Rattus norvegicus: one gene and its partner. Each later gene encodes a partner of the first gene's protein in a complex. Links are inferred from orthologs where the notes say so. Each region holds a gene or a part of one and is shown on either strand. Other genes may lie near its edges.

Region 1 (3,806 bases):
ATGGGTCCTAATATCTGTATCTTCCCTCACTTCCCCACTTCAACCACCAAGGCCTCCTTACTGTCCCCAAGGTCATCAGGCCCACAGGCACTTTAAGGACTGGCTGTCCCTAGAAATTTGCACAGCACATTTCTCTACTGTGTCAGATCTTTGTTTAAGCCCTCCCCCTCCTCCTCCATGACTTTCTGTGATGAGACAGGGTTTCTCTGTGTAGCCCTGGCTGTTCTGAAACTTGCTCTGTAGACCAGGCTGCCCTTGAACTCCCAAGTGCTAGAATTAAAAGGTGTGCACCACTACCGCCTGGCTCAGGGTCCCTTTCTAATCCCCACCTTAAGGTTCTCAGTCTACATCGCCCCACCAGCACCTCTGAACCTTCCTGTGTTACTGCGATCCAGTCCATCCCCTCCGCCCTGTGCTGGGGCTTGAGTGTATGGCCTTACACTCTAGGCAAGCATTCTACTACTGACCAGAACATCCCGCTCTCTTTCTGCTTCCTTCTTTCCTTTCCTTTTCTACTCCTTATTTTGAGACAATGTCTAAGTTGCCCAGGCAGACCCTGAACCCACATCATAGCCCAAATAGGTCATGAACCTGGCATCCTCTTGCTCGGATTTCCAAGAAGCCATGGTCAGAGGCCTATGCCACCAGGGCCATGTATCTACTTTCCAATCTTCTTGCTCTCCTCTCCCTCTCTCATCCACCCCTGCCCTTCCTTTGATTCTTCTGTTTTCACCTGTCTCTCTATGCTGCCCAGTCTGAGCTGGAATTCTTCAGTCCTCATGAACTCATCTACCAAACGCTAGTTTGCCTCAGTGCCCAGAAGTGCCTGCCCCTGTTCCACATTGCCATCTGGTAGCTTCCACTATTTCCTGTCTCCTTGCTGCAGATGCTAAGTGTGCCTGGACTGAGATGTGTGTGTGTGTGTGTGTGTGTGCGTGTGCGCGCGCGCGCGCAGATACACATGGAGGCAGAAGTCCACCTCTGTGGGCACAGCATGTGTCACTGGCCCTGGGATCCCATGTAGGCTAGATTGGCTAGTCAGCAAGTCCAATGGATCTGCCAGTCTCTGCCTCCCTAGCACTAGATTACAAGGAGCACATCCGGCACTGTATGCATGGGTCCTGGGAACTGCACTCTGGGCCTAATGCTGGCTTTACAAGCACTTTAGCCCCTGGGCTATCTCTCCAGCCCAGAGGTTTTGCTTACTGCATTCACATATTTCAGGCACCTAGAACGGAACACTGGCATAAGTTTGGGCCTCTACTAGTTGATTGCAGTGTTCCCCTAAACACATATTTGCTTTCAGATTACAAGATAACATCCTTTTAAAAAGCGAAACAACAAATAAAACCAAGTACACCCTAACCTACCTGCTACAGGCCACCAAGTACCAACCAGAACAGCTTTGTTCACCCCAACAGCCCTCCACCCATACACTCACCTCCTTGCAGGTTTCGCGCTCAGCTCATGAGAAATTCTCAATAAATTCTCAATAAATTCCCTGCAGGTACCAGCCTAACCCAATCCCCTCGGGCTACAAGGACCTAAGAGACCATCATTGACAAGAATCTCTACCCCTAATATAGATGGGGACAGGAGGGCCCAGAGCAGGGTGGGTGTTAAGTGACGACCCTCATATTCTAAGTTGCTGCTCAGGATTCTATGCCACAGAAACAGGTGTGAGGTCTCGCTGGGGGCTTGGGATAAGCAGCCTTGATCCCTAGAGCTTTGCAGCTACCAGCCCAGGGGTACCAGGGCTGACTTACCATGCCCGAGAGGTAGTCCTGGTTGAACTGCCCTGCATAGTTGGCCACGTTATCCAGCCCGATAGGGGGCATGCTGGGAGGAGGGTAGCTAGCACCTCCCCAGGGAGCACCACCTGAAAGCAACACCAAGCCATCCTCAGCTCTGCATTCCCGCCCCAGTGACAGGGCAGAAGGGCAGAAAAGAGGGCTGCAGAGGGGCTGCCTCGAAAACCAAGCAGAGCATCAAACCAATGTTATAAAGACCCAGAAAGACTTGAAGAAGAGGGTCAGGGGAAGCAGCAGAGGCTTTCCCTTATTCCGGGGAAGGAGGCAGCTTCCTCCCTGGTGGGGATTCAGCCATGCTTTGTCCTCACAAACCCAGCATCAAGGGCTGAGAGAACAGATCCATCCTTAGGCTCTGTGCTGAGCTGAGCACATGAGCTATGCACTCCATGTGCTAAGGATTCTCAGATGGAGGGAAATGGAGCCATATCAGAGGACGGGGACACCATAAAGGACAGTACCAAGGAGCAACCACATGGCTGGCTGCGTGTCCTGGGGCAAGGCTCTCTCTAAACTACTTTCACTCATGTCTGCAGAAGTGTGACCTCAAGCTGTGAAGGTAAGGGCTGAGGAGGAGTCTGTGACATGGTGTCACAGACACAGAGTTTCTGCTGGAGAGGGGACTGATGTCACTGCGGCCAGATCGGAGAAAGGTCCAGCTTGGCTCGATGTACCCTGTGACAATGGCTGAGGTACTTAACTTCCCTGCTCCGTTTGGTCATTTCTGCTGAGTTCTCTCAACAGTAACTATCCTTGCAGCAGCCCTTGTCTCCTTACCCAGAAGCCTTCACGGTTCCCTCACTACTGTGGAAGCCAAATGTTTTCAGGAAACATTTCAGGGCAGGGCAGGGCAGGGCAGGGCAGGGCAGGGCAGGGGAGTCTTCAGAAGGAAGATTAGCTGAGCCACTGCCTCAGATGGGTGGTCTCACCCTATGACCAGGGGATCCTGGAAGCCATAGGGAAGAGGTTACAGAAAAGAATAGCAACCCTTGGTATTGGCCTCAGTGGGAGACCCTGATGCTGCAAAAGTCAAAATCTTATTCCTTGAAACAGTGCGCTAGTAGCAATACTTTGGAAGACACTTCCTGTAGGTTGTCACTCCCTGTCTCTCCCCCTGGGAATAGCCAGGGGAGGGAAAGAATCTTGAAGCTTTTTTGCCAATGAGAAAGAGTCTTAGAGTATAGCAGGCCTTTGCCCACTTGTAGGTTACTAAAGGCCCTCCCAGAGTCAGCCAAATCTAGGCCTCTCCAGCCCCCAGTCCTTTTACACAAAGGGTCTCCCTGGGTCCCCTTACCTGGTGCACCTGGAGGGTAGCCACCAGCAGGTGGTGGGTAGCCTGGGTAGCTCATGGGTAAAGCTGGAAAAGAAGAGAGAGTGCATTCAGATTATGTTGAGGGAGCTTCCGACCAGGTCCACTGACGTCTGCTTCTTGGGATCAGAGTCCAAGGCTAGGCCCCTACAGAAGGGATTAGTCCCCCCCCTCCCCAGTCCACACCTCCCTGCTGGGCCTCCAGGTAGGTCAGGCCCACCCCAAGGCTACAGGAGGGTGCAATACCACAAGCCAGCTAGCTGCCCGATTCCTTGATATCTGCTTCCCCAGGCCTGGTTTCTGTCTCCACCGACAAGAGTGCAAAGTGGCTGGGGTCTGGTCTGCTCTCTGACATCATATTCTAGGTAGAGCATCACCCAAGACTCAGAGTCTACTTGGGCTTTATCCTGCCAAGGACCATGTTAGGACCCTGTTTCCCTGCATCCCACCCACAACCCTCAAGCTTGCCAGAATGCTATCCCACGTCCCCTCAGGTCAGACCCAAGCTGCAAGCATAGACTAGCTGTCACAGTCTTAAACGGCAGGTCTGTGTCTCTCCTGGGCACTCCCCTGACATAAAATAACATGATTATTGTGGGAGTCATCATTCTTAGAAACAAGAGATGCCGTCAGAAGGGCCTGGCTGCTATAGAGCCCTGAATCAGGGCAGGTACCAAAGCCTGAAGAAA
Region 2 (4,606 bases), on another chromosome or scaffold:
GAGCAGCTGTTCATGCACAGAGGCACGGACACAAACGAAATAAAAAGGTAACCATTGTTCTAAGTTGTTAAAGTTCTTGAATTTGCCAGGCATGGTAGCACAGGCTGTAATCCCAGTACCTGGGAGGTGGAACGGGATGGTCAGAAGGTCAGGCCCAGCCTCTGCTCTATGAAACCCTGTCTTAGAAGACAAACAAAAAACCATTTGGGTGACTCACACCCGCAATCCCAGCACTGGAGGGGCAGATGCAGGACAGGCATTGCAAATTTGAGGCCAGCCTCATCTACACATTAAGTTCCAGGCCAGCCAAAGACTACTTAGAGATGCTGTTTTTAAAAAGTCCAAAACCAAAACATAAATAATACTGGGTGGAAGGACTTGTGCTTATAATCCCAGCACTCAGATGGTTGAGGCAGGACTGTTTGTCCAGGAATTCCTGGCCAGCCTGGACTATAACGGGAGTTCCAGGCCAGACATTAATACCTGTTCTCGCAATGCCATCTTCTTGCAAGGTACCGGTGAGGAGGAAATGAGTTCATTTATAAATTTAAAGTGGGAAGACTCAGCTTGGCACGATGATGATCTGTAATTCCCGCCCCGCCCCGGAAAGGAGGCAGAGACAGGAGAATCACTGCAAGCTCAAGGCCAGTCTGTTCTGTACAGCAAGACCCAGTTTCAGTAAACAAAGCAACTGTGTAAACCTTTGCGGCTAAGCTTTGAATCTGATACACCAGTTAGTTTCAATCCTGGCTAAAGAGTCTACAGCTGGGGCTTGGTGGTAGAGCTAGCCCTCAGAGTTACACAGGACTTACAGAGTTAAACTAGGACTCGTCTACTGGAACCGAAATAAGGAAACCTCCCAATATTTTCTGCTGTAGGATTCATCCTAGTGGGACCTCTTTCTCACGGATATTTCATGCAAGATACTTAATTCTGTGCCTCAGTTTCTTCCCTTGTTGAAAGAGGAGAGTATCAAGAATATCACACAGTCTGCCAGGGCAACATCAACACTCCGGAGCCTGACGATGGGGGAGGAGGAGCCGTGACGAGTTAAAGGGTTACACAGTGACTTTGAGGTCCTTGTCTCTAAAACAGCATTTGGTGGCTAAGCCCAAGGTCAATGGTAGAACACTCGTTTGCCATTCACAAGATTCTGGGTTTTTTCCCCCTAGAGCCGGAGCGTGCTAAAGGGTACTTGGCACAAAGTAGTACCTAGGACAGGGACCATTTTGTAGACCAAAGTTAATGCTTCTATGTCGGAAATTAACAAGCAAAGGCAGGAGACATCGAAGGCTAACCTTTAGACCTAAAACCCAGGGTACTCAGGGAGCCCCACTAGCCCTTCGGCATCCAGCCGGCCCCTGGCTCCGCCCCTTCCCTCCTAGCCCCGCCCATACGCTCCAGTCCCGGCCTACGCTAGTCTCGCGTATTTTCAGCGCGCGCGAGCTCTTCAACTGGGGCCGGCGGTTGGTCGGGCGAAGCCATCTTCCACGTGACGTAGGGGGAACGTAAAGCCTACGAGACCACACTGTTCTTCATTTTTCAGCATTTCGGATCTAGACCCTCTCACTCCTGTATTATTTTCCTCTGTTCTGCACGCCGAAGGGCCTGCTAGTATCCGAGCCGCGTCGAGGATAGAGCGTCTCTGGCGACTCTCGGAGAGCTCCCCTCCTGACAGGAAGCAATTGGGAGAGGCCGAAGGCGGGCGAGGGCGGGAGGCGGCCCTAGCGCCATTTTGTGGGCACGAAGCGGTAGCTCGGCTGTTGTTGGGTTCCTTTCCGTCTTCGATCCTTCGTTGTGCTTCCTAGCAGCGGCCCAGTGGGTGAGTTGCTCGCCGAGGACGGCTTGCGTGCTTCGGGCGCTGCTTTGGGGAGACCTGAGACGACCTGCACCGCTGGAAGGGAGCTATGGAGCGGGGCCTAGTTGGCCTCGCGCCACCGCGTCGTTAGGGCCTAGCGCGGGCGGCAGCCGGAGCGGGGCGCCGGGCCTGCTGGGCTGTGAAGCCGCGGGCGGAAGTCTGTCGCGGCCCCGGCGCCCCAGCAGTGCTAGTCCTTAAAGGTTCTCGCATTTGAGAATTAACCGTTTTCACTATGGGACTTGGACCCACGCGGCCCCACCCGGGGCCTAGTTGAAAGGGCGGGGGTGGGGGAGAAATCAACGTTGTCTGTCGCGCATGGCCTTCTGGGAAGTGGCGGCCTACCTCAAGGAGTATCAGTCGTTGCTCCCTTGACGCCCAAGTTTAGCCAGACCTTTCCGAAAATGAGGAATAGAACTGCGGGGTCTCTGTTCTGAACGTCGGTTTTCGTGCTCCACCGGCACGGTCAAGATTTAGCCAATTGAATGCATTGCTAATTTCTTACACTTAAAGCACGTGCTAAGCCCGATTTAGGCTCTCAGGCTTTAGAATTAATGAAATGAGTTCAGAATAGTCGAAAAATACTGTAGACTGTAATCTGTGCACTCCAGGTAAGAACAGTGTTTGCCAGTGGGGAAAAAATGGGGACAGATACTTAGTTCTTAACACCTTGTTTTTGTCTGGCTTTGTAACCAACAGGCCACATGGTAACACTGTTGCAACTTTAGCACCGGAAGCATATAGTAAGGCCTGAGAAAATGGGTGAACTGTGGCGGGGGTGGGGGGATGGGGGCAGCATCACACCACCACTGGCTTTCTCTGTGTAGTCCTGACCGCCCCGGAACTCTGTAAACCAGGCTGGCTTCGAACTCAAAAATATGTTCCTGCCTCTGCTTCAAAAGTGCTGAGGTTAAAGGTGTGGGTTACTATGCTCGGCAAAAATCACATTTTTTTGTTTTAGAAAACATTTTTTCCTCGATCACCTCACCCCCCCCCCCCCAGGGATGACGAAACATTTTTTGGTGGTGCTCTTTTCAGGAAATGGGAAAAAAATAAAGTGGTGTGATAGTAACTAAGTATAAAAAAGATAATTGCTCTGATATTCTTGATCATTTCTTTTTCCTTTAAGAGATTTAAGCAAAGATGTCTGAATATATTCGGGTAACAGAAGATGAGAATGATGAGCCCATTGAAATACCATCAGAAGACGATGGGACAGTGTTGCTGTCCACAGTTACAGCCCAGTTTCCAGGGGCGTGTGGCCTGCGCTACCGGAATCCAGTGTCTCAGTGTATGAGAGGTGTCCGACTGGTGGAAGGAATTCTGCATGCCCCAGATGCTGGCTGGGGCAATCTGGTCTATGTTGTCAACTATCCCAAAGGTTGGTTAATCACTTTGGTTTTGCCATATTACTGGCTATGGTTAGATATGTATGCCATCCTAAGTGAGGCTATAATACCTGGGCATCCATGTTTGCTGGAGAATCCCTGAGGGTTTGGCCTTCCTTGGAAGAATGTCCCCTAGGATCCTGCCCTTTTCACAAACTTTGCTTAGACTAGTCTGGCAGGTCAGCAGTCTAAATAAGTGAAAATTGAAAAGCAGGATTCTTTTTTGAGGAGCATCTATTTAAATGTTAAGCCATCAGAACATAGTCATTGCCAATTTTAGGTGGTTAAAACTAAATGCCTTAAAGATCTGTTTTGTAAAAGAATTTGGCTTAGCCAGTTTTCCTCGAGGCTTTTTTCTTTTTAAGACATATGTGAGCACAGTCTCTGTCTTCACACACCAGAAGAGGGCATGGGAGCCTATTACAGATGGTTTGAGCCACCATGTGGTTGCTAGGAATTAAACTCAAGACCTCTAAAAGAGCAGTCAATGTTAACAGCTGAGCTATCCCTCCAGTTCCTCTCCCCCCCCCCCCCCCCCGACCCAGGGGGACCAAACCCAGGGCCTTGTGCTTCCTAGGCAAGCGCTCTATCACTGAGCTAAATCCCCAACCCCTCTTTTTTGGTTTCTTAAAACAGGATTTCTCCATGGTTAAACTTGATAGCTAAGGTTGACCTTGAACTCAGATCTGCCAAGTGCTGGGTTTAAAGATGTCACCACTGCCTGGCTTTTTCTTGCAGCTGTCTCATCTTTGTCTCATCATTTTAAGATTTATGTTTATTAACATTGTGTTGTATGTGCACCTTGGCACTCTGTACCTGATACAGAATGACATCCGACCTTCTGAAGCTAAAGCTGTATGGTTGTGAGCTACTGTGTGGGTGCTGACATCCAAACCCTGATCCTCAGAAGAGCAACAGCACCAGTGTTCTTTTTTTTTTTTTTTTTCTTTTCTTTTTTTCCCGGAGCGGGGGACCGAACCGAACCCAGGGCCTTGCGGTTACTAGGCAAGCGCTCTACCACTGAGCTAAATCCCCAACCCCAGCATCAGTGTTCTTAATCTCTTTTTTTCCCTCCTCAAAAAATATCAGTTGCACTAGCCCAAATTTTGAGTTCCTACAGAACTAAAGATTTTCTCTGTTTCTTACTACTGATATTCTTGAAAGTATGAGAAAACTGGGTCTGGTGGTGTACATCTTTGATTCCAGCATTCAAGGGGGCAGAGAGACAAGTGGATCTCAGAAATTGAGGACAGCCAGGACTACAAAAGAGACCCTGTGTTGGGGTTGGGATATGAATGCATGTGAGTTAGTAAATGGTTATTTTTACTATGGTGGTACTGTAACAGTCCTTCCTGTACCTGTA

What was found.
Region 2: the proteins of Anxa11 (region 1) and Tardbp are in contact, whole or in part, in a cryo-EM structure (PDB 9FOR), measured with the Homo sapiens proteins. The link is inferred for Rattus norvegicus from reciprocal best matches to the Homo sapiens genes ANXA11 and TARDBP. Residues at the interface, in NP_001148.1 of Homo sapiens: Gly56, Met57, Ala59, Met61, Ser62, Gly63, Phe65, Asn69, Pro71, Asn72, Leu73; in NP_031401.1 of Homo sapiens: Ala328, Leu330, Ser332, Trp334, Gly335, Met337, Gly338, Met339, Ala341, Ser342, Gln343.

What each region holds. Positions count from the first base shown.
Region 1 is NC_086034.1:1,447,132-1,450,937, reverse strand, and holds part of Anxa11 (annexin A11), read right to left. Parts: intron 3,166-3,806; 5' UTR 3,158-3,165; coding exon 3,103-3,157; intron 1,880-3,102; coding exon 1,767-1,879; intron 1-1,766. UniProt on the Homo sapiens protein: Binds specifically to calcyclin in a calcium-dependent manner. Required for midbody formation and completion of the terminal phase of cytokinesis.
Region 2 is NC_086023.1:164,342,308-164,346,913, reverse strand, and holds the start of Tardbp (TAR DNA-binding protein 43), read left to right. Parts: upstream 1-1,709; 5' UTR 1,710-1,822; intron 1,823-1,953; exon of another isoform or gene 1,954-2,466; intron 2,467-2,984; 5' UTR 2,985-2,998; coding exon 2,999-3,236; intron 3,237-4,606. UniProt on the Homo sapiens protein: RNA-binding protein that is involved in various steps of RNA biogenesis and processing.